Linked DNA regions of Stegostoma tigrinum. The protein of the gene in region 2 purifies or fractionates together with the protein of the main gene of each other region. This does not show direct contact. Links are inferred from orthologs where the notes say so. Each region holds a gene or a part of one and is shown on either strand. Other genes may lie near its edges.

Region 1 (7,781 bases), on a different chromosome or scaffold from region 2:
CCGCCATCTACAATCCGATCCCACCAGCCAAGCCATTTTTCCATCCCCACTCTTGTCTGCCTTCCGGAGAGACCACTCTCTCCGCGACTCCCTTGCCCGCACAACACTCCCCTCCAACCCCATCACACCTGGCGCCTTCCCCTGCAACCGCAGGAAATGCTACACTTGCCCCCACACCTCCTCGCTCACCCCTATCCCAGGCCCCAAGATGACCTTCCATATCAAGCAGATGTTCACCTGCACATCTGCCAATGTGGCATACTGTATCCATTGTACCCGGTGTGGCATCCTCTACTTCGGGGAAACCAAGCGGAGGCTTGGGGACCGCTTTGCAGAACACCTCCGCTCAGTTCGCAACAAACAACTGCACCTCCCAGTCGCGAACCATTTTACCTCCCCCTCCCATTTCTCAGACGACATGTCCATCATGGACCTCCTGCAGTGCCACAATGATGCCACCCAAAAGTTGCAAGAACAACAACTCATATTCCGCTTGGGAACCCTGCAGCCCAATGGTATCAATGTGGACTTCACAAGCTTCAAAATCTCCCCTTCCCCCACGGCATCCCAAAACCAGCCCAGTTCGTCCCCTCCCCCATTGCATCACACAACTAGCCCAGCTCGTCCCCTGCCCCCACTGCATTCCAAAACCAGCCCAGCCTGTCTCTGCCTTCCTAACCTTCCTCTCACCCATCCCCTCCTCCCACCTCAAGCTGCACCTCCATTTCCTACCTACCACCTCATCCTGCCTCTTTGATCTGTCCGTCTTCCCTGGACTGACCTTCCCCTCCCTATCTCCCCTCCTATACTCTCCTCTCCACCTATCTTCTCTCCATCTTCGGTCCGCCTCCCCCTCTCTCCCTATTTATTCCAGAATCCTCACCCCATCCCCCTCTCTGATGAAGGGTCTAGGCCCAAAACGTCAGCTTTTGTGCTCCTGAGATGCTGCTTGGCCTGCTGTGTTCATCCAGCTTCACACTTAGTTATCTTGGATTCTCCAGCATCTGCAGTTCCCATTATCTCTCCCCAAGAGAAATATTTGCCTCTTTGTCCACTGTGCAATCCCATTCCTCCATATGCCAAGTGACCAAAAAAAGTACATGACACAAATTTACAAATAAATCACATCATGCATTGCAACATTTTTGTACCTCTGTCCACGAACTCTGACTTATTGCTGGCACTTGTGCTGATTTCCTCAAAATTCAGAGAATTGAGTACAATAAAGACTGACGCTTCAGTGCAGACTTTTGAAAATATTGACTAAGACTTTGGAGCAGCAACAGAGTAAGACCATAAGACATAGGAGTGGAAGTAAGGCCATTCAGCCCATCGCATCCACTGCGCCATTGGCTGATGGGCATTTCAACTCCACTTCCCTGCACTCTCCCCGTAGCCCTTGATTCCTTGTGAGATCAAGAATTTATCAATCTCTGCCTTGAAGACATTTAACATCCCGGCCTCCACTGCGCTCTGTGGCAATGAATTCCACAGGCCCACCACTCTCTGGCTGAAGAAATGTCTAAGGATGCTGAAGGGCAACTACGGATGGGCAAGAAATGCTGGCCAGCCAGTGACGTCCACATCCACACAACAAAATGAATTTTTTAAAATGCTCAATTGCTGAGAAATCCTGTAATGTCTCTGATGAAAATTTCAGCTCCAGTTCCATTCAGTAGTGCAGCAACTGATTCAGCAATCTTTACTGGGCATGAACAACTTGAAGCAGCAGTGAAGTCATCAGATGATCTAAACGCCTGAAATAATTAAATTATTTTCACAAATAATCTCATCCCTTAAATCAGAAACACAAAGCACTGAAATAAAAGGTTTTAGAGCAAATTACATAGCGGCGCATATATGTGCAGTGAGGATAGAAGATAAAACATTCCAAATAAAATCTTTAATATTAAGCTTTAGAAAAGTATTTACTTTATCAGTCCATGAATATAAAATTATTTTTTCTGAAATTCTGTACATCAAATTTTATTCATTTTTAAAAACTTAGATATGTCTGATTGAACAAGATGTAACTTTTTATAGACTTCTACTTAAGTCATTCTAAGCAGAACCTTGGAGGGGTTGGGGTGATGCAGTGTGTATGTCACAGCCCATGTTGGAGCTCTAAGAGACAGACTGTAATCCTCAGATATCCTCATTAATCACATATAATCGTTGACATTGCATCAGATGAGTATGAAAGTTGACTTTTCAGATTGGGACCCTTCTTCTGAGAAGCCATTTCTGAAGAAGGGTTCCGACCTGAAACGTCAACTTTCCTGCCCCTATGATGCTGCCTGGCCTGCTGTGTTCCTCCACCTCCACGCTGTGTTATCTTTGACTCCAGCATTTGCAGTTCTTGCGAGCTCTAACCTTGAGATTGCATCTGTTTCGGAGGGATAATCATTGCATAAAGCTCTGAAAGGGTTTATATGGAATGCCCTAACCACCATCCATTATGATGTCAAATGGCCTGGCAGGAAGAATGGGATCTCAAAACCTAATATCCAGAACAGAGGGTGTATTTATCATCAAAGTAACTTGTACTTAGTTGCTAATGTAAATAACTAGTACTTATTTAATATAAGAGCCTGTTTTAGTAAGACCAGTAAATTGTTTCTTCTACCACAGTTGACCAAACAGGCTCTGGAGGTCCCTTGGAGAATGGTAGCACTAAATATGCCAGATGGAAGTGTAGACTTTGTTTGAGTGTACAAGCGACAAACTCTTAATTCCATATTAGTTGTATGTGCAACTTAGGAGCATTGATGTATTGGACCCTATAAATAGCCACATGAAGAATGGTTGTGTTTGTATACTTGAAATGTGTAAAATAAACAAATATAAATGTGTTTAAGGATTGGCTTCTAGGTATTTTTTAATCAGCCTGCTCAAGGATGTTTGATGGCACATCTCTGGAGTAGATGGGACTTGAACTCGTGGTTAAGAGTTAGGGGACAATGCCATTGCACCATAAGTACCCTCTTGGCTTGAGTTCTATGCTACAGTACATGGCTTTCTGGAGGAGGAGAGCTGTTTAGCATTTATCCCACCAGCATAATTCAAATTGTGGTTGGTTAATTTGCAGGTTCTTGCTAAGACCAGCCAGCATTCAAAAGTACTTGAGGTACTTCTCTCAGTCAATTAATTTCTGAGGTCATGAAAAATGCAATAACTGCAAACATTTTGCAGAATCCATTGATAGCTTGAGTTGTCAGGTACAATGCAGTCCACTCATATCTGGGTATGAATCAGTACACATGTGCTCTTAAATTGCAATACGCAGGTGGTGAAAGGTGAATTTGTGATCACTTGTGAACACTAAACTAATTTTAAATTCTGTCCAGACCCTTGGAAACTGGAAGCAAGATGGCAGCATTAACTGGAGCTCATCTGCTCCAACCACTTTCCTTCTTTCTTTTTTTCGTCTGTCTTACTTTTGTTTGCTTCCGATACCCTTACTTTACTATTGTCCTGAGCTTGGATGGCAGCAGCAGCAGCAGCGAAAGCCCAACACAGACCTCAAGTGGGCCCTTTTCCAGGTTGAGCACAGGAGTTGGCATTTCAATCGGCAGCTGCTACGCCAGTGAAGGAAACGTTGGTGAGGTAGGCCCCTGGGCGAAAGATTGCACCTGAGGATAAGCAACTTAATCATTGGCTGGGTCCTGTGCTGGCAGCAGCAAAGTGGTGGTGGAAGGGCATCACAGCAACACCAGCAAGATGGGCCCAGTGGTGGACGATGTGACTCGGACATTGTTTGATCTGGTGCAGGCTGCAGCGAGGTGCGCTGGAGAATTTCCCCAGCAGCAAAAACTAGCACCCGAGGCTCAGCGATTAAGATGTCGAGATAATAAAATGTGAGGCTGGACGAACACAGCAGGCCAAGCAGCATCTCAGGAGCACAAAAGCTGACGTTTCGGGCCTAGACCCTTCATCAGAGAGGGGGATGGGGGGAGGGAACTGGTTAAGATGTCGGTTGGGTCCGGAACAGATGGCAGCAAAAGCAGTGTGGGGGCAGGGGGATGGCGGCACAGGTGTCGATGATGGTCATAAACTGGCTCAGGTCTGATTGACGTAACACACTGTGAAGCTGGAGGAACACAGCAGGTCAGGCAGCATCAGAGGAGCAGGAAAGTTGACGTTTCGGGTCGGCAACCCCTTCAGAAATCTGAATTTCAGACCTCAATGCCTTGTCTGACTCCAGCATCGGCAGTTCTTACTATGTCTCAGGACTGAGGGACTCCCTTTAATCTATATAAAAACCAAAAGAACTGCAGATGCTGTAAATCTGGAACAAAAACAGAAGTTACTGGAAATAATCAGCAGGTCTGGCTGCATCTATGGAGGAAAAAAAAATCAGCACTGAGGAAGGGCCACCAACCCTAAATGTTAACTCTTGATTTGTTTTTTCTGCACAGATGCTGCCAGACCTGCTGAGCTTTTCCAGCAACTTGTGTTTTTGTTCCTTTCAGCTATATCTTTCTCTCCTTATTCTTAAATTATTCAAAATGGCGCCAGATCGTGGCGAAAAGTGAAAGCTTTTCACTGTGTATTTTACTGTATTCTTACTGTAAAATACACATGGCAATAAACTCATTCATACAATGTCAGTGGGAGAGGGCCACCAGTACACAGCCAGTATTGGAGCAGTAAAGCGAGCAGGGGGCGGGATTGCGTGCGAACGCTGACATTGGATTGGTGGGGGCCGCTGTCAATCCTACTGAGTGACGGCGGAGGCCATCTTGCGGGCGGGCCGTTGGAGTGAGTTGGGGAGTAAAATGGCGGCAGGCGGACAGCGAGCGGGGCGCTGGGGAGAAGCAGCAGTCTTTTAGCCAAAGACAAAAACAGTCGTCGGTGCTGGGTCGTCACCGCGGTTTAGTTCAGACTGACAAATTTTGTTTCCGTTTTCGTTCGTCGGCGTCATTTTGTGAAGCATGGATCGGCTGGCACCCTTCGGCAGTGAGTAGCCCCCCCGCCCTGTGTCTCACCCTCGGGGGATGGAGGGGGTGTGGATGGCTGATAACCAGAGGATCGGTGCTTTCCTCGGGCCTGTAGCTGCAGCCTTAACCACGAGCCGGCAATTGAATTAGACTCGCGTTTGGGCGAGAAATTTGCTTCTCAATAAAAGCTCCTCTTCCAAGCTCTTCTTTCAACACCCACAACCACCAAACACCTAATGCTAAAAGAAAATCCAGATGTCTTTGCCTAAAATAAATGTGTGGCCACAGTGATGTGCCGTGCTTTTTATTGTATGGATCACTGTTTCGGAGCCGACTTCTCCTCCCACCAGGTCACCTTTCTTTTCTAAACCAAAACACAGCGCCCTAAGAGCTCAGACTCGCAGATAAACTGTACCAACCCAACCCTTTTCAGACTGAATTTAATTGCTCGCTCCAACTCACTTATCTGTGTGTCTCAAACCGGGGTTAAAGTCAGTGGAGCATTTGTGTTTAGTACGGTGAATATGCCACGTGTGTTGTGCATTTAGCTCTCCCTCGCTTCTGATGGCCGCAGAGCGAAGTGCAGGCAAGCTGTGTGACCTGAGCTGTAACAGACCCACTCAAGGTTGGTTCACGTTAACTGAGAGAAGTAAATTGAGCTGCTCGTCGAGAAGCATCATCCATCGTTTGAATTGCTGGCCTTTGTAAACTTTTCATTTTGCCCTTACCTTTGGTGTCCGTAGTATTTCAACAGCACCCCAAAACAAATCGTTAAGTCTTAGAAGTGCAAAATACACTGAAAATGATCAACAAGTCAGCCCATCACTGTGATAAGAAAAAAGTTTATGCATTTCTTTAGACCTTTAGTGAGTACAGGATGTATCAAAGTTTCTTGTGGATGCAAACATCCAGTCACTAAAACTTCCTACCTTACTCTGTGTGTATGTTTACTTATGTCTGTGTGCAATTTTGTGTAAGTCTTATTGTGAAATAAAACTACTGAAACACAAAAGCAGGAAAAAGCTGCAGAGACAGACCAGTAAATGCATGGAAGGAGGTTAATATTGTTTCTGGTAATTCTGTTTTATATTTCAGTATTTTGCCTCCTTGAAAGACTGCCAGGGAAAGCAGTCCAATTCTTAACAATTTCCTTAACTCACCAAAGTAAAATCTAGATGTAAAAGCACGTTTATCTAGCAGTTTCCTATTATGCCACCAGAGCACCACTCAAACTTTACAACTGGGAAAACATGTATTACACCAGGGTGGGCTGCTGAGGCATTAAAAGATCGCATGAAAGGGGAAAGGAAATAAAAACAGTTGCTGCAAACTGATATCTTGTCCTGTTGTATTTCTTCTCCCCTTCCACCATGCCACGTCTATCCAGTCAAAAAAAATGTTGCTTCTAATTTTTATCAAATTAGGGGCAATTTTATATTCAGATTTTCTCCATTTCCTCCTAGAATTAATGTGAAAATATTTCAAAACCTTCTAAAGACCAACGCTGCATATGTCCAAAGAACCTTTTGAAAGTCACGTTCTTTACCTCTAGGTTTTTAAACAGGATTTTCCCTTATTCCCCATAGTTTCATGCAAAACAAATTAGATCATGGAGTACTTCACATATGCCGTGCGCAAAAGCAAAATTCTGCTAACATCAGTAATCTGAAATTAATAATGTGCTGGAAATTCTCAGCAGGTTAGGCCGCATCTGTGGTCATTGAAATAGTGCTACAGGTCTCTGATGTTTCATGAGAACTGGAAAAAAGTTACAAATCTTACAGGGATTTAAGCAAGTACATTGATCATGAAGGAGATTACAATGAAAGGGAAGTTCTTATAGTGTGGAATACAGGAGTGCTAAAATGATTGATCTTTTGGCATTTAATTATTCTTGTCTTCTGCCCAATTAACAGTTTTTTTTCTGTTCTTTACCTTTCCCCAATTTTCCCACCCCTCTACTTTCTGGCTTGTTGCATCTGTAACGTTTTCCATTTTTGTTGACAGATAATCAAACTAAAATTTTAATTCTCTTTCTTACCAACCTACCTGTCCTGCTGAGTATTTCTGGCATTTTCTTTTCCAAGTCACACACTTGTCTGTAATGACCCATTTCCTGATCAGAAACTCTACATAGGGAGCAAAAATAGTTGTATTAATAAAGTATATGCATATAATAGTGTTATTACTAATCCAGTTTTCATGTTTCTCAATTTTTAAAAATCACTTTTAACGCAAAGCTCATGTATCTGATCTTTCATTGATGCTTTGAAATTATTTTATTTAAACTGTTGTTACCATTGCTGCATTGCTTGTAGTTGCCAGTACTGCAACCTAGTGTTATACAGCTAAAAGTGTTTTTTTTCAGAGACAAATCAAAGCTTGAAAAGCTAATATCCTTATACAGGCTGCTGTCTGGTTTTCTCATGGTTGGTATAGCAATCTCATGTTCACATTGAGAATTACATAAAATATATGAGAAGTGGTTTCTAGGTGGTTGTTGGAATGGCCCTGATGATTGCATTAAAATGTAACAGTTCCTCTGTTACAGATACCACAAGGTAATTTGTTGTATGAATATTTACTGTAACATTAAATCTATGCATACTATTTGGAGATATCACTTGCTGAATTGCCTTGATCTGACTTTATTTCAGGTGACCCCTTTGATCAACCACCATGTCGTGGATGTTCCTCTTATCTAATGGAACCCTACATAAAGTGTGCAGACTGTGGACCTCCTCCACTACTTATATGTTTACAGGTACACTACCATTATTTGAGCTTATAAGAGATTGAAGTTAATACATTTGTCTTCCATTCTTACATTTCATACCCCAC
Region 2 (7,214 bases):
GGGGGTTTGAGTCCAACTTTCTTTTCCCCTGCCACAGTCCCACTCCAGGCTTTCCAGCCCTCGCCGTGCCCCCGCATTCCACTCCAGGCTGCCTCACTGGCCCGCTCTCACCGGATCGCTCTCGATCCGCCATTGCTGCGGGACACAGCCCGTGCATTCAGCTCCCGCCATGAGGTGCCCAGTCACCTTTCAACTCCTACGGTAGGTAGTTAAAAGGGGCAGGGGTGTATACTACAGAGGGAGGGAGAAGAAGCGAGAGCCAAAAAAAGGATGGTCAAGGAAAGAAAGAGAGAGAACTGGCGAGCAAAATGGAGCCACTTACTCTGCTGCCATCTTGCCACAAGCGAGACGAGCATTCTCAGCTCTGTCTTAATTGGTGACTTCTTACTCTGAGATGATGTCCACTGGTTTGAGACTCACCCATGATGGGAACCAACCTCTTCCACATCCACCCTGTCAAACCCGCTAAGTATCTTCCATGTTTCAATAAGGTTGCCTCCCATTCTTCTAATTATTATTGTTATTCTAGGTTCACCAGGTTGACACTGAGGGATGACAGGGCTATCTTTGTTTGACTATTTTTAAAGTTAGTTCACAAGATGAGGGTGTCGCTAGGTCAGCATTTATTGCCCATCCCTAGTTGTCTGGAGGGCAGTCAAGAGTTGACCACGTTGCTGTGGGTCTGGAGTCACTGGTAGGCCAGACCAGGTCAGGATGGCAGTTTGTGAATGCGATGGCTTTCCCCCACTCCCAACAATTTGTGGTCATTAGATTGTTCTCAACCTTAGCACCCATAACCCAAGCTACAAATCTCCTCCAAAACCTTAGAGGTCATTAGATTCTTAATTCCAGATTTTTGTTTAGTTATTAGATTCAAATTCCACGGCACTATTTCAACCTCGGTTTCCAGACTATTACCTGTGTCTCTGAATTAACAAACCAGCAATAATACCACTAGGCCATTGCCTCCTGACTGTGAGATTATAACCTCTGGTCTGGGATATTCCTTTATTCACTAGAGTTTAGGAGAATGAGAAGGTTGGGGAGTCTAGAACCAGGGTTCATTGTCTCAGGACGTGGTGCAGGCCATTTAGGATGGACATAAAGATTTCTTCTTTCAAAGACTCATGAACCAATGCAATTCTCTACCACAGAAGGCGCTGGAGGCTACAACATCGAATATATTCAAGATAGGTAGATAGAGTTTTGAGATTTTAAGAGCATCCCAGGGTATTGGGATGAAGAGGCAATATGGCATTGAGATAGACGGTCAGCTATAATCACGTTGAATTGCAGAGCAATTTCATAGCACCAAATGTCCTACTCCTGCTCCAATTTTTGACATAAACTCCAGTGAGTATGAGCCCCACTAAAACATAGAAATTATGTTACCAATGAGGTAGTCACAGCGTTTTATCCTTGGGCCACAACTATTTACAACCTATATTAATGACTTGAATGTAAGAGATCTGGCTGTAATAGCAAGTAATAATGGAACTCTAACATTTATTGCTAACGATAAGGGATAAGAGTAGGAAGTGATATTGAAACTGTACGAAGCATTAGTGAGACCACATCTAAAGTACTGCATACGATTTTGGTTCCCTTATCTGAGGAGCATTTCGAGTCCATTGACCCTCCTTCAGACCTGATAGTAGCTAGAATGAGGTTTATATATGCTGAAGGTGGGGTGAGAGGAGAAAGAGTTAAATGATAGGTGGAGATGGTGCCCAGATAGAAACTGTTGTGCAGACAAAGGAACGGGTATAGGTGAGCTGGAAAATCAACAGCAGCTAACAGGGACCACAGCTCCGCCATTAACCCTATAATCCCAATTTATCTCGAAACTTTGAGACCTAGGTGTTCACTCCACCTCCTGCAACTGGATCCTCAGCTTCCAGAGAAACATGGAAGATAGACAACAGAACCTCCTCCACAATAAGCCTCAACATTAGCAACCCTCAAGGATGTATACTCAGACCTCTTATGTATTCTCTGTACAGTCATGACTGTGTGGCCAAATTTCATATGATCACCATCTACAAGCTTGCTGGTGACATCACCATGGTAGGTCAGCTATCGAATGATGATGAGTCAGAATACAGAAAGGAGATAGAGGGCTTAGTTTCATGGTGCAATAACGATCTCTTTCTCAACGTCCACAAAACAAAAGAACTCATCATTGCCTTGAGGAGGAAAGGAGGAGGACATGCTCCTGTTTACATCAATGGAGCAGAGGTGGAGATGGTCGAGAGCATCAAGTTCCTAGGAGTGATGATCATCAACAATCTGTCCTGGACCTCCTATGTAAATATGATGGTCAAGAAGACACGACAACACCTCTTCTTCCTCAGGCTTAGAAATTCAGCTTGTCCATAGGGACCTTGACCAACTTCTACAGATGCACCCTAGTGAGAATTCTAATGACTTGGTACGAAAACCGTAGTAAGAAACTACAGAAAGTTGTGTACACAGCCCAGACCGTCATGAAAGCCAACCTCCCATGTGGGCCCCATCTACACTTCTTGTTAGAATCATAGAATCATGGAGTCCCTGCAGTGTGGAAACAGGCCATTAGGCCCAACAAGTCCACCCAGACCTATCATCTACCCCTTCCATGTAACCCTACATTTCCCATAGCTAATCTGCCTAATTTACTCATCCTTGGATACTACGGGAAACTTATCATAGCCAATCCACCTAACCCGCACATCTTTTGACTGTGGGAGGAAATCAGAGCACCCGGCAGAAACCCACACAGACATGGGAAGGAAGTGAAAAATTGAACCTGGGTCTCTGGCACTGTGAGACAGCAGTGCTAACCACTGAGCCACTGTGCTGTCCGAAAATCATTGAATCCCTCAGTGTGGAAGCAGGCCATTCTGATCATCAAGTTTATCATAACATTCCAAAAAGCACCCACCCAGTTCCATGCCCCTACCATATATACACCACATTTCTCATGGCCAATTCACCTAACTAGCACATCTTTGAACCATGGGAGGAAACACACACAGATAGTCACCCAAGGCTGGAATCAAAGCTGGGTTCCAGGCACATGGGGCAGAAGTGCTAACCACTGTGTCATTGTACCACATTGTTACTAAAGTGAGGCAGCCCACATCATGAAAGACCCCTCCCACCCAGGTTCTAATCTCTTCCAACCTCTACCATCAGGCAGAAGAAACAGAAGCTTAGACTCGAGTAGTAACAAGTTCAAGAACAACTTTTTCCTTTGCTGTTATCAGACTGATGAATGGACCTCTCTAATTTCACATCCAATGTTGATCAGAGGGTCACCAGACCCCAAACGTTAACTCTGATTTATTCTTCACAGATACTGCCAGACCTGCTGAGTTTTTCCAGCAACTTCTGTTTTTGTTCCTCCTCCCTTCTGTGCGGCTGTAAAGTTGTATGCCTCACTTTGTCTAAGCACCCTATTGTCTGTTTGTCCTTGAATGTTATCATCTGTTTTGTACCAGTCGCAAAAAAAGACTTTTCACTGTGGTAGCAGCCCAAATGGTGACAAGGCCTAGTGCGTGGGGCTTTGGGTAAGGACTCATCTCACCTGACATATTAACCCTGCCTTCTCTCCACAGATGCTGCCAGACCTGTTGAGTTTTTATGAAAGTACTGCAAGAAGGTTGTGAGACCGCAAATGATTAATTCTGCCTTCTCTCCTCAGATGCTGCCAGACCTGCTGAGTTTTTCCTTATTAATTTCCTTACTAGGAATAACGAAATCGCTGGAAGAAAACTCGTGTTGTGTCTGGCAGCATCTGAGGGGAGAAATTTCGAGCATCTAGAGTTCTTAGGGCTTATTATTCTCCAAATCAATTAATTTTGCTCAAGCATCCATTCTGGCGCCGGCTGGACTCGAACCCGCGAGCTTCGGGCTCGGGGGCAGGAACGCTGTCAGTGCGCCACAAGTGGTGCGTGTGCGTATCGCCGCGCGGAGAGACGGGGTGTTGTTTGCGCTGGGCCCTCGCCTCCTCATTCCGTCACCACCGCCGCACGTCCCAAAAACCCCCAGTGGATTCTGGGAGGCCGGCTGCAGCCGGGGCAAAGATGGCGGCCGAGGGCGCTGCGCATCCTTGCGGAAGTGAGGTAAGTGAGAGTGTGGCGGGGGGGGGGGAGGTGGGTAGAGGCGGGTGGAAGGTGGGGGGAGGGGAAGGCCTCACCCCACCCTCCCCCCCCCCCCTTCCCATGGCCGCCGCCACCGCCGCTACCAGCAGCGAGCCGAGAGAAAGGGAAGAAGTGGCTGTGGGATCATGTGAGACCGAAAAATGGGATCCAAAGCAGGAGAGAGTGGACGAACCAGCCGAGGAAATGGTGGCGGATTCCGCAGCGGTAACCACAGAGCCCGAGGCGCCGGTATCGGGGAAAAGAGTGAGTCTCGCCTTTAAAGGCGGAGTGGGGAGGGGGGGGCGGTGGGTGTCAAGAGCGGCCCGCGTAGTGCGCGGGCGGGCTCCTCCTCCTCCTCCTCCTCCGTTTTAATCACCACCCATCCGCCCTGGGAAAAGCCGCTCGGTCGGTCGGGAAACATACCAAAGCACGAGGGAGGAAAAAAAACGCGGTGTTTCGTTTCGCCGCCGCCCGCGCGGGAGAGCCGCACGGTCGGTCAAGAAACGTTAAACAAAAACCCTGTCAATTTTGTTTAGCCGCCTCCGCCCGCAACGGGGGTTCGGAGGTGAATGGATTATATAATAAATTATTTGTAAATACTCGATTGCTCATCCTTATGCCCTGCTCAAAGCAGCAACTTACGTTCGCCATCCCGATCGTAAACATGGTGCAGGCTGCGAGCTGAGCCGAAAGTGTTTTATTTTATGTTTATTCATTGGAATTGTTGCTAATTAGCCTACACAAGCTCCCCCTTCATTTTTATATATTTTTTTCCTGACATCGACTGTTTCCTTTCCTCTCAGCTGTGTTTCTTTTGTTACTGTCCACCCCGCCACCCCACCTCCTGAGGCCGACGGTGTAAAGCCTGAGGTCGGCCACTGTTGTTAGGCGAGGCCGGGGATCGCCTCAAGGCTCCGTGAGGCCTACCTCCCTCTCCCTCTGAGGTTGTGTGGTGTGGGGTGTGGATGGTGTTGTCCGGAACAAGGCACCGACAATGTTCGTCGGTTTCCCATCCCACTCTCCGACCCTTTCAGTAAACTTTTTCTTCTCCCTCTCCAAGTGGGCTTTTCGTTTCTTTGTCCTGGGATCACTTTTACCATCATTTCCTCAACAGGTTTCCCTTCTCTCTCTCTCTCTCTCTCTCCCTCATCCTTCAGGGTAAATTAGAGGTTCCCCAGATACTGGAACATGTTCCTTTGTTATTTACTGAGACTCGCACACTTAAAATTTCTCCTGTCAGTGGCATGCCAGTTCTTATTTTATTTATCTCAGCAAGCTGCCCTTTTACAACTGATTTCACATATGTTTCAATTCACACGTGTGCATATGTCTGAATTAATGTGTTTATAATCTTTGTGTGATTTGTATTATAACTGACAATATACTGATCATAGATGAAGTCACTTGCATTCATGTTGAACACAACGTACTGACACATTACAATTTGAATGTTTGTATATCTATAATGAGATAGAGAACTGACAAAATTATGAATGCACGTAGTCATGCTATAATCTGTAATGTATATTATAACATACTGACAACCCGTAGATATGAATGCACGTGTTCATGTTATGAGATATATAACAGTATACTGACAGATTATAAATACACATGTATTCATGCTGTAATCTGTGTAATGTAAATTGTAACATATACTGACAGACTATAGATAGAAATGCACGCGTTCATGTTGTAATGAGATATATAACGGACTGTGTACTGACAGTATTGTGAATTCATGCTGTTATCTGTGTGATGTATATTATAACACGATGTACTGACAGACTATAGATAAATACACTTGCATTGGTGCCGAGTTTGTGTGCGTTAATGAAGTATACGTGAAATGTGTGTGGAACTTCCCTTTTACTCGCAGTACCCAGCTGCTGCATTAATTTTCCTTGCAGTAGATGGAGTGACCAGTGAGACTCGCTGCTCTGCTTTGTGTGCACTTTGTGGTGAAGTAACCCGTTTTTATTTGGTCATAAATATGCGGAACACGTGTGCTTTAGTGCAGGTTCAGCAAATACAGCTCCTACTCCTTTCGAAGGTTATGTTTGTATTTGGATTTATTTTTAAAAAAGAAAACTCTGGCACTTTGTATTTTTCTTGGTGTTTCTCTTTCTGTGTGTGGAGCGGGGTTGGATTGTCCCTGATCACGGCTTTGACTCAGTCCTCCTTCGCACATGTTGGGAGGTTGGTCATTTTGAGGTCAGTTTGGAATCGGAAACGTCTCTAAAACAGTCGGTTTTTTTGTCTCCTGCGGCAGGTGGAAGTTAACACGTGTCTGGACGAGGCGTTCGACTGGGCCATGTGTTCACTAGCGTCTTAAAAAATGCCGAGTAGGATAATCAAATCACGATTTTTTGTTGTTGTTTGCATTATGAGAGTGAAGGTTGGCACGGATTTAATTCTGTATGTAACTTCACCTTCAGTACTTAAGCTACACTGTCTCTTCTTGTTCACCACTTAATTTTTCGGGCTGATACATTATGTATCCACATTAATGCTGCAGGTAACCAGCTGAGTGATCGTTTTTTGTTCCTGCTGCTTCGATTAATATTCTTCTGTTCCTGTCTCTTATAAATGTTTCTCTCCAAACTAAAGCCTTGGCCTAACTCTGCCAGTTGGTTGTACACAGATTGGGGCTGTTATTTTGGTGTTTTCCGTAACTGGAAGTTCGAGCAAAGTACTGTTAGTACTGTTTCCTCATCAGCCAATATTTTTTAAACGAGAAATTCCGGATCTGTTAGACGCAAGATCTTGTAATCCAAAAACGGTAATTTATGGCATTGTGTACTCAAGTTATATACATGACCCCTGGGTTTCTCAGCACCTCTCCTTTTGCAACCAGGGATTTTCGCGATTTGTTCTTATCCTCATGGAAACTCATGAGAACTTTGTAGTGGAATTGTCTTTGTGGTAACTGAATTTGAATGAGTTTTATTCTACAGTTCAAGCCTAGTTAAACTGATTAGAAGAGGAACATATAGGGAAAATAAACAAAGGTGGCTTTGTAATTTTCTGAAATGAAAGGAGTGCGGATTGGTATTTCAGACATGAAACATTCTCTGCTAGTTTACATCT
Region 3 (6,877 bases), on a different chromosome or scaffold from region 2:
TTCCAGTTTATATGTAGATTAAAATTACTCAATTATTGTCCACTTTTTAGAAACTCCCAATATTTCCTCTTGTATATTTTGTTCTATATCATTTTTTTTGGTGGGGGAGGCATGCAGTACATCACTCCCACTGGTGATTTATTTCCTTTACAATTCCTCCATCAGACGAATTCTGGTCAGTTAGCATTCTGTTCAATGCAACTAACAGTTTAATGCAACATTCCTACCTGTGTTTCTGCCTCTAGAATTCGCAACCGCCGACTTGCTGAGCTCAAGAGAGTTTCCAGCTCCAGCTGTAATGTATCCAGTTCTTCGATTCCGATTCCATCATCCTCAGAGCGCGACAGCACAGCTGCATAGCGGGGACACATCTTCACGTGATCTACTGGCTTAAAGTCATGGAACTGCAGCGGGCAGTCTTTTAGTTCACTCATCTTGAGCACGTGGAAAGTTTGTCTAAGATCTGTAAAGAAATAAAAAACAATTCAAATTGAACATTGGTAGTTCTGATTAATAAGTGATATAGCAAATGGAAGGTTAACTATACACATGCAAGAAATGAAGGTTGTGAAGGGCTTCTCTAGTCGACCAACAGACTCATAGGTTCCAAATAGATTTTAAAAGCAAGTACTGCAATTGAAACAAGCTCTTCAAAGCCATCCCAGAAAAATCAGAGGGTCAGCAAGTATCCCTTGGCTCAAGGCCATGATTTTTCTAAGCGATAACATCAGTGGTGTGAAGGGCCATTAAAAATGTTTCAAAATGCCACCGATTTTTTTCTGTTTATTCCAGTGAAACAATTTATTTGCTGTGCATTTTGTCATTTATTCCAGATGAGTTTTCTAGTCAATGAGTCACTTGAAATTATAAATGCTAAACCAGTTTTACCAATTTCCTTTATTCAGCCAAACATCTGCCTCATTTTGCCTCAGTTTCCCAGGGTTTGCAGATTCAGCTGCCCTCTGTTTATTCTGTTTATTGCCTCTGCCCAACTATTCCATTACTTCATCTTCATGTATCTTCTGTAAAATGTCTTTTATATTGAGCCACAGAATTGTTACCATGTAGGAGAAAGCCATTTGGCCCCAGATGTCTGTGCCAGGTCTCCAAACTGAGCAAATAAAAACCCGATATAACTGTGGGTGCTGTAAATCAGAAACAAAAACAGAATTTGCTGGAAAATCTCAGCAGGTCTGGCAGCGTCTGTGAAGTGAATTCAGAGTTAATGTTTCGGGTCCAGTTCTAAGGAAGGGTCATCGGACCTGAAACATTAGTGCTGATTTCTCTTCACAGAAGCTGCCAGGCCTGCTAAGCTTTTCCAGCAAGTTCTCCAAACTGAGCATCTCACCTAGTGCCATTCTGCTGTTTTTTTCTCTGTAACCCTGCACATTCATCCTTTTCAGATAACCAGCAAATTCTGTTTTTACTACCTTAATTGAATCTTCTCCAAAATCCTCTCAGGAAGTGCATTCTAGACCTTAACCACACAGTGTATGAAAAACATCTTCCTCCTATCACATTTACTTTTTTAAAAACTGATGATTTTATACCTGTGCCCTCTCATTCTCAATCCTTCCACAGGTGGAAACATTTCTCCCTATTTACTCTGTCTAGACCTCAAATGACTTTGAATATTTCAGTCAGATCTCCTCTCAGTCTTCTCTTCTCAAAAAACTGTTCCAGTTTCTTCAATCGAAATTTTCTAACTGAAATTCCTTATTCCTAGAAACATTCTCTTCTGTATTCTCTCCAACAAGAAAATTATTTCTATTTTTGTTGTTTGATCTTTTTGTGCTCATCCGGGTAAAGGATGTAATCTGAAGCACATTTTATTTATAATGGGAGACTTGTAATGTAAACCTCTATTTACAGTTTCAGAGCAGCACAGTCAATAACAGAACCAAGATTCCTTTACTCTAACAGTGTTCTACTCTCAATTCACATGCACAGCTTGAGAACTCTGATCAACAACTGCAATTTTGTATTTTTGCCATATGAAATTGGGATTGGCCAATTTATTTCACATTATATCCTTACAGTTAGCTTTTAAACAATTGCTCTTGACTTGGATGTCAGACAGGTGAAAAGACATTGACTCCGTCACACAGAAGTACCTATTGATCAAAAATTAGCAGAACAAATTAAACGTCTGAAACTCTCATCAAACCAAAAGCAGATTGACTGTAAAAGGTGTTAATCGTTCACATAAAAGCAGACTTTTCAGGCGATAGGATCAAATCGTGCATTAGATGTAAAGCAAACAAATTTGGAAACAAGACTACACTATTCAACAAAGAGCAATGATGCGGTTGCTGGAAGACAATTGTATCATGGAATAAAATGACATTCAGTATTCATTTTCTGTCATCTCAGGTTTGTCAGCTGTTACTGACAGCAGTAAGAAACTATTTCCCCTGTCCTACTCCCTGCCTGCCTAACTTACAGGTAAGGCACTGTTAGACACAGGAAGGCCAGGGCATTAGTGGTGATACAAGATCAGTTTGTGTCAAGACCCCAGTTTGCAATTGCAGCTGCTAATGCACCTTTTCCTCATCCTGTAGTCAGCAATGGACCTGCTTTAACCACCTGATTCCAACATTGTGAAATAAAAGCTCTTTTTCTGTCCAAGTGCCCAGTAACCAAGACACAAAAATACCTGTAATTTCAAGCTGCAGTGCAATGAGGAACAGAATCCGTGGGTAGTTAAGGTAACAGACATTTGTTGCTATGTGCCGGCTCCCTCACATTTTCAACAGGACTTTGTTACCTTTTACCTGGGAACAGGCTCCATCTGCGACTTTACCACTACTAGGGAGAACGAGGGGATGTACAACACACAGTGGCCACCCTTCTCGCAGGCACCCGTGCAACAGCCGTGTCCTTCTCGCCTCTTCGCTAGGTTAATTAGTAATAGAGCGAAAGCGCCATGTAAAAAAATACACGTTCTGCGAAGTTGTGCAATCTTTAACCGTCACTCACCCCTAATTCTCATCCTACACTTTGTCATAGTGGTTCAGCCCACATCCTTTTCCGGTGCTTTTGGACCAGACCAATGCCATAGATAGAGGAGGGGGAAATATATAAAGCAACGTTTGTTATGAGCTTCTGGTGCGGCAAGGCCGGCTCTTTGGATCAACAACGTTTGACATACATATAATTTTATTCATTTTACAGCTTCACATAAATACCATGAAAATAAAATCCATACTTTTTGCAACGTAATTCTCAAAAGTTCACCAATTCCAGCGTGAGAAAAGTAAATACTACGCGGGGGGAGTGAAATTCAAAATCGATGATCATGTTGGCAGCACCTAAAGAGTAAGAAACAGGGAACAAAGCTTTAATTGATTGCTAAAGTTTGTGCAACTTCTGCACATGGAAAGTGGATGCAACTACGACAAAAACTACGGCAGAGCACTAGAGCGAGCTGTTACTCTCCCTCCTGGAAGCATGGTACATCCTGCAGCGGGCAGGGGCGGGGTGTGAAGAGGTACGGCTGCACATGCGCCCGGGACGTTTCCGCCTTCCGGGGAGACGATGGTAACAGGAGGGGGTCAGGGCTGAGAGGGTCCCTGAATGGGGTGGAGGGCTCGCTCCGGCTAGGTGAACAGATCGGGGTTGGGTGGGGCGGGGGAGAGAGGAGATAATCGGCACCTCCGGAGTCAGCTGGAGTAACGGCTCCAAGCGGCAGCAAGGCCCCACCCGTCCCCCGAGGGCAGGGGAGAGTTCCACACCCAACGCTTCCTGTCTCTGGGCCGGAGCTGAGCCGACTGGTATCCGGGCTGGGCCGGCTCGTGTACCGCTCTCTCCATATCAAACAGTCCAACCGTGTTACTCTTCCTCTGCCTCCAATCTGGAATGCCTTTGGTTGAGTCAGGAATTTGTGATCCTGTCGCGTCCCTGCAGCCTCCTCAGTGGCGATGGGGAAGCGAGGGCATTGATTGTGTGCCTGTTTCTAGTCGTTGATATCTGGCAGGTTGTTAATTCCTGACTGCAGTCAGTATTTCTTGGCTGGGTACTTGTCACTAGGTTGCCTTGTTCCATATTCTAACTTACGGCTGTCACTGGGACTGCGTGCCTGTTCAAGGTTGTTTGCGGTTTAGTGTTTGACGCTGTTCCTTTTAACAGGACCGTATATAGGTGCAAAGTCTTGTATTTTATGTTTAATCCTCAAGAGGTTGTGAGCGCTCACAATAGCAGTTATGGATGGCTCAGACCTTTCGTTACTTTTCAGTTATTACTTTATTCGTATAACACGATGTTGCTGTTGGCAAAAATATCCTATTCAAGGTGAAAATGATGAGTTAACTTATATTTCAAGTTCTAGCTGTGAAGTTACTTCTGGTGAGTGGTCAGCCAGGTTTCCGATGTGAAGTCCACAGTTCACTTGTCTGCTAGCAGATTAGGTTACTAGTTTAGTATTCTAGAAGCCACGGCAAGGTAAATAAAGTTTGTTTAAATTTCATTATAACAATTAGTTATACATTGAATTTGGTTTTTCTAAGAAAATGGAAATAATTCATGTGCTGATTAAAAATTACTTTATTAATGGCCTTTGGGGAAGAAAACTTCGATAGATGAGTAAGCATGATATCAGTGGTGGGTAAGTTGTTGGAGGGAATCCTGAAGGACAGAATTTACGTGTTTTTGGAAAAGCAAGGACTGATAGGAGTAGTCAATATAGCTTTGAGTATGGGAAATCATGTCTTGCTAACTTAATTGAGTTTCTAAAGAAGTAATGGAAAGAGGTAATAAAATGTGAGGCTGGATGAACACAGCAGGCCAAGCAGCATCTCAGGAGCACAAAAGCCGATGTTTCGGGCCCAGACCCTTCATCTCTGATGAAGAGTCTGGGCCCGAAACGTCGGCTTTTGTGCTCCTGAGATGCTGCTTGGCCTGCTGTGTTCATCCAGCCTCACATTTTATTATCTTGGAATTCTCCAGCATCTGCAGTTCCCATTATCTCTGATACTATGGAAAGAGGTAGACTGGTTAGTAAAGTTGGGTCACATGGAATACTGGGAGAGCTAGCTTTTTGGATACTGAATTAGCTCGATGGTAGAAGGCAGGTAGTGGTGGTGCAGGATTATTTTTAAGACTGGAGGCCTGAGACGAGCAGTGTGCCACAAGGTTCTGTGTCGGGTCTGTTGCATTTCATTGTTTATATAAATGATTTGGATGTGAACAGATAAGATTTGTTAGTTTGCAGATGGTATCAAAATTAGAGGTGTAGTGGATAGCAAAGATTACCTCAGTACAATGGGAACTTGATCAGCTGGGTCGATTGGGCTGAGGAGTGGCAGATGGAGTTTAATCTAGATAAATGAGAGGGTGCTGCATTTTGGAAAGACACATCAGGGCATGACTTATATACTTAATGGCAAGGTTCTGGTTGGGGAGGTGATGCTGAACAAAGAGACCTTGGAGTCATGTTGGTAGTTCCTTGAAAGTGGTATCATAGGATAGCGAAGAAGGTAGGTTTGCCTTTATTGATCGATCCATTAAGTATAGGAGTTGAGATGTCATGTGGTGGCTGTACAGGATATTAGTTAGGCCACTTTTGGAACACTGCAGTTCTGACAGCAGGGAGACCAGAAGGATGTTATGAAATTTGAAGAGGTTCAAAAAGATTTACAAAAATGTTGCTAGGGTTGGAGAGTTTCAGCTGTAGGAAGAAGCTGAATGGGCTGGGGCTATTTTCCCTGGAGCATCGGAGATTGAAGAATAACCTTAGAAGTTTATGAAATCATGAGGGGCATTGATAGGGTAAATAGACAAGATCTTTTCTCCTAGGTGAAGGAGTCCGAAACTAGAGAGCATAGATTTAAGGTGAGGGGAAAGATTTAAAAGGGACCTAAAGGGCAAGTTTTTTTCACCCGGAGTATGGTCCGTGTATGGAATGAACAGCCAGAGGAAATGGAGGCTGGTACAATTACAACATTTAAAAGGCATCTGAATGGGTATATGAATAGGAAGGGTTTAGAGGGATATGGGCTAAATGCTGGCAAATGAGCCTAGATTTATTTAGGATATCTGGCATGGACAAGTTGAACAGAAGGGTCTTTGTGCTGTGCATTTCTATGACTCTAAGTTAAAATCCTATATGGTCAACAGATGGTATTAAGATTCAAATTACTTTGTTTTCTCCCATGTTGTTCAGCATATACAACCATACATGCATTAACTGCCTTGCTGGTCAGTGTTTTGAGTCTAAAATGGAGTGGGTGTGACCTGAGCATAGTTTTTAAAAATGGACTGTTGCTGTAGATTAACTAGAGCTAATCAAACCGCTATTATTCATTCTCACGTTTTAAATGTGATTAACCGGCTGTCTGGTATTGTTGACTTATTTGGTTTACTTAATTTTGTTTTTGTTCGCAACAAGTAGTCACTGCCTGTTAATTAAAGGGAGATCATGAGATAATCTGGTCCACTGTTCCATTCATGTCACTACATTTGTCTGAACAAAAATCTTTTATAATGAGATTTGAATTTACAGATTTAAATGGGATCTTTCCAACATTAATGTCCCTTAATGGTGTAATTGCCTAAAGGGTCTTCTAAGCTTTATTACTTTAACTTTGTTTATCACTTGATAGGCGACGCTCCGTCCATACCTGAATGCAGTCCGTGCCACACTTCAAGCTGCACTCTGCCTCGAAAACTTCTCATCACAAGTTGTGGAACGCCATAATAAACCTGAAGTGGAAGTGAGGTAGGGCACACTTGCTGGGTTAATATTTTGGTTAGTTTTCAGTATTTAAGCACCATTTGTGGTGGGGTGGGGGAAGATGCAAGAAAGTTCAGTACAATTTTCTGTTTCTTGGGATAACAAATACAACTCCAAGCATATAATCTGTATATAATTTAACTTTGA

What was found. Proteins that work in one complex are often made in the same cells at the same time.
Region 1: the proteins of zzz3 (region 2) and tada2a purify together in Homo sapiens (affinity purification with mass spectrometry; 4 studies listed by BioGRID and IntAct, with this or other methods). This does not show direct contact. The link is inferred for Stegostoma tigrinum from reciprocal best matches to the Homo sapiens genes ZZZ3 and TADA2A.
Region 3: the proteins of zzz3 (region 2) and tada3l purify together in Homo sapiens (affinity purification with mass spectrometry; 4 studies listed by BioGRID and IntAct, counting the BioPlex papers as one, with this or other methods). This does not show direct contact. The link is inferred for Stegostoma tigrinum from reciprocal best matches to the Homo sapiens genes ZZZ3 and TADA3.

The regions. Positions count from the first base shown.
Region 1 is NC_081380.1:33,512,447-33,520,227, forward strand, and holds the start of tada2a (transcriptional adapter 2-alpha), read left to right. Parts: upstream 1-4,758; 5' UTR 4,759-4,934; coding exon 4,935-4,959; intron 4,960-7,597; coding exon 7,598-7,704; intron 7,705-7,781. UniProt on the Homo sapiens protein: Component of the ATAC complex, a complex with histone acetyltransferase activity on histones H3 and H4. Required for the function of some acidic activation domains, which activate transcription from a distant site. Binds double-stranded DNA.
Region 2 is NC_081361.1:92,318,914-92,326,127, reverse strand, and holds the start of zzz3 (ZZ-type zinc finger-containing protein 3), read left to right. Parts: upstream 1-4,198; 5' UTR 4,199-4,388; intron 4,389-6,123; exon of another isoform or gene 6,124-6,338; intron 6,339-7,214.
Region 3 is NC_081364.1:18,563,703-18,570,579, reverse strand, and holds the start of tada3l (transcriptional adapter 3), read right to left. Parts: upstream 3,024-6,877; 5' UTR 3,008-3,023; coding exon 2,980-3,007; intron 2,970-2,979; exon of another isoform or gene 2,657-2,969; intron 464-2,656; coding exon 228-463; intron 1-227. Other genes in the region: uncharacterized protein LOC125460488, read left to right, coding at 3,538-3,540, 6,600-6,715. UniProt on the Homo sapiens protein: Functions as a component of the PCAF complex. The PCAF complex is capable of efficiently acetylating histones in a nucleosomal context. The PCAF complex could be considered as the human version of the yeast SAGA complex.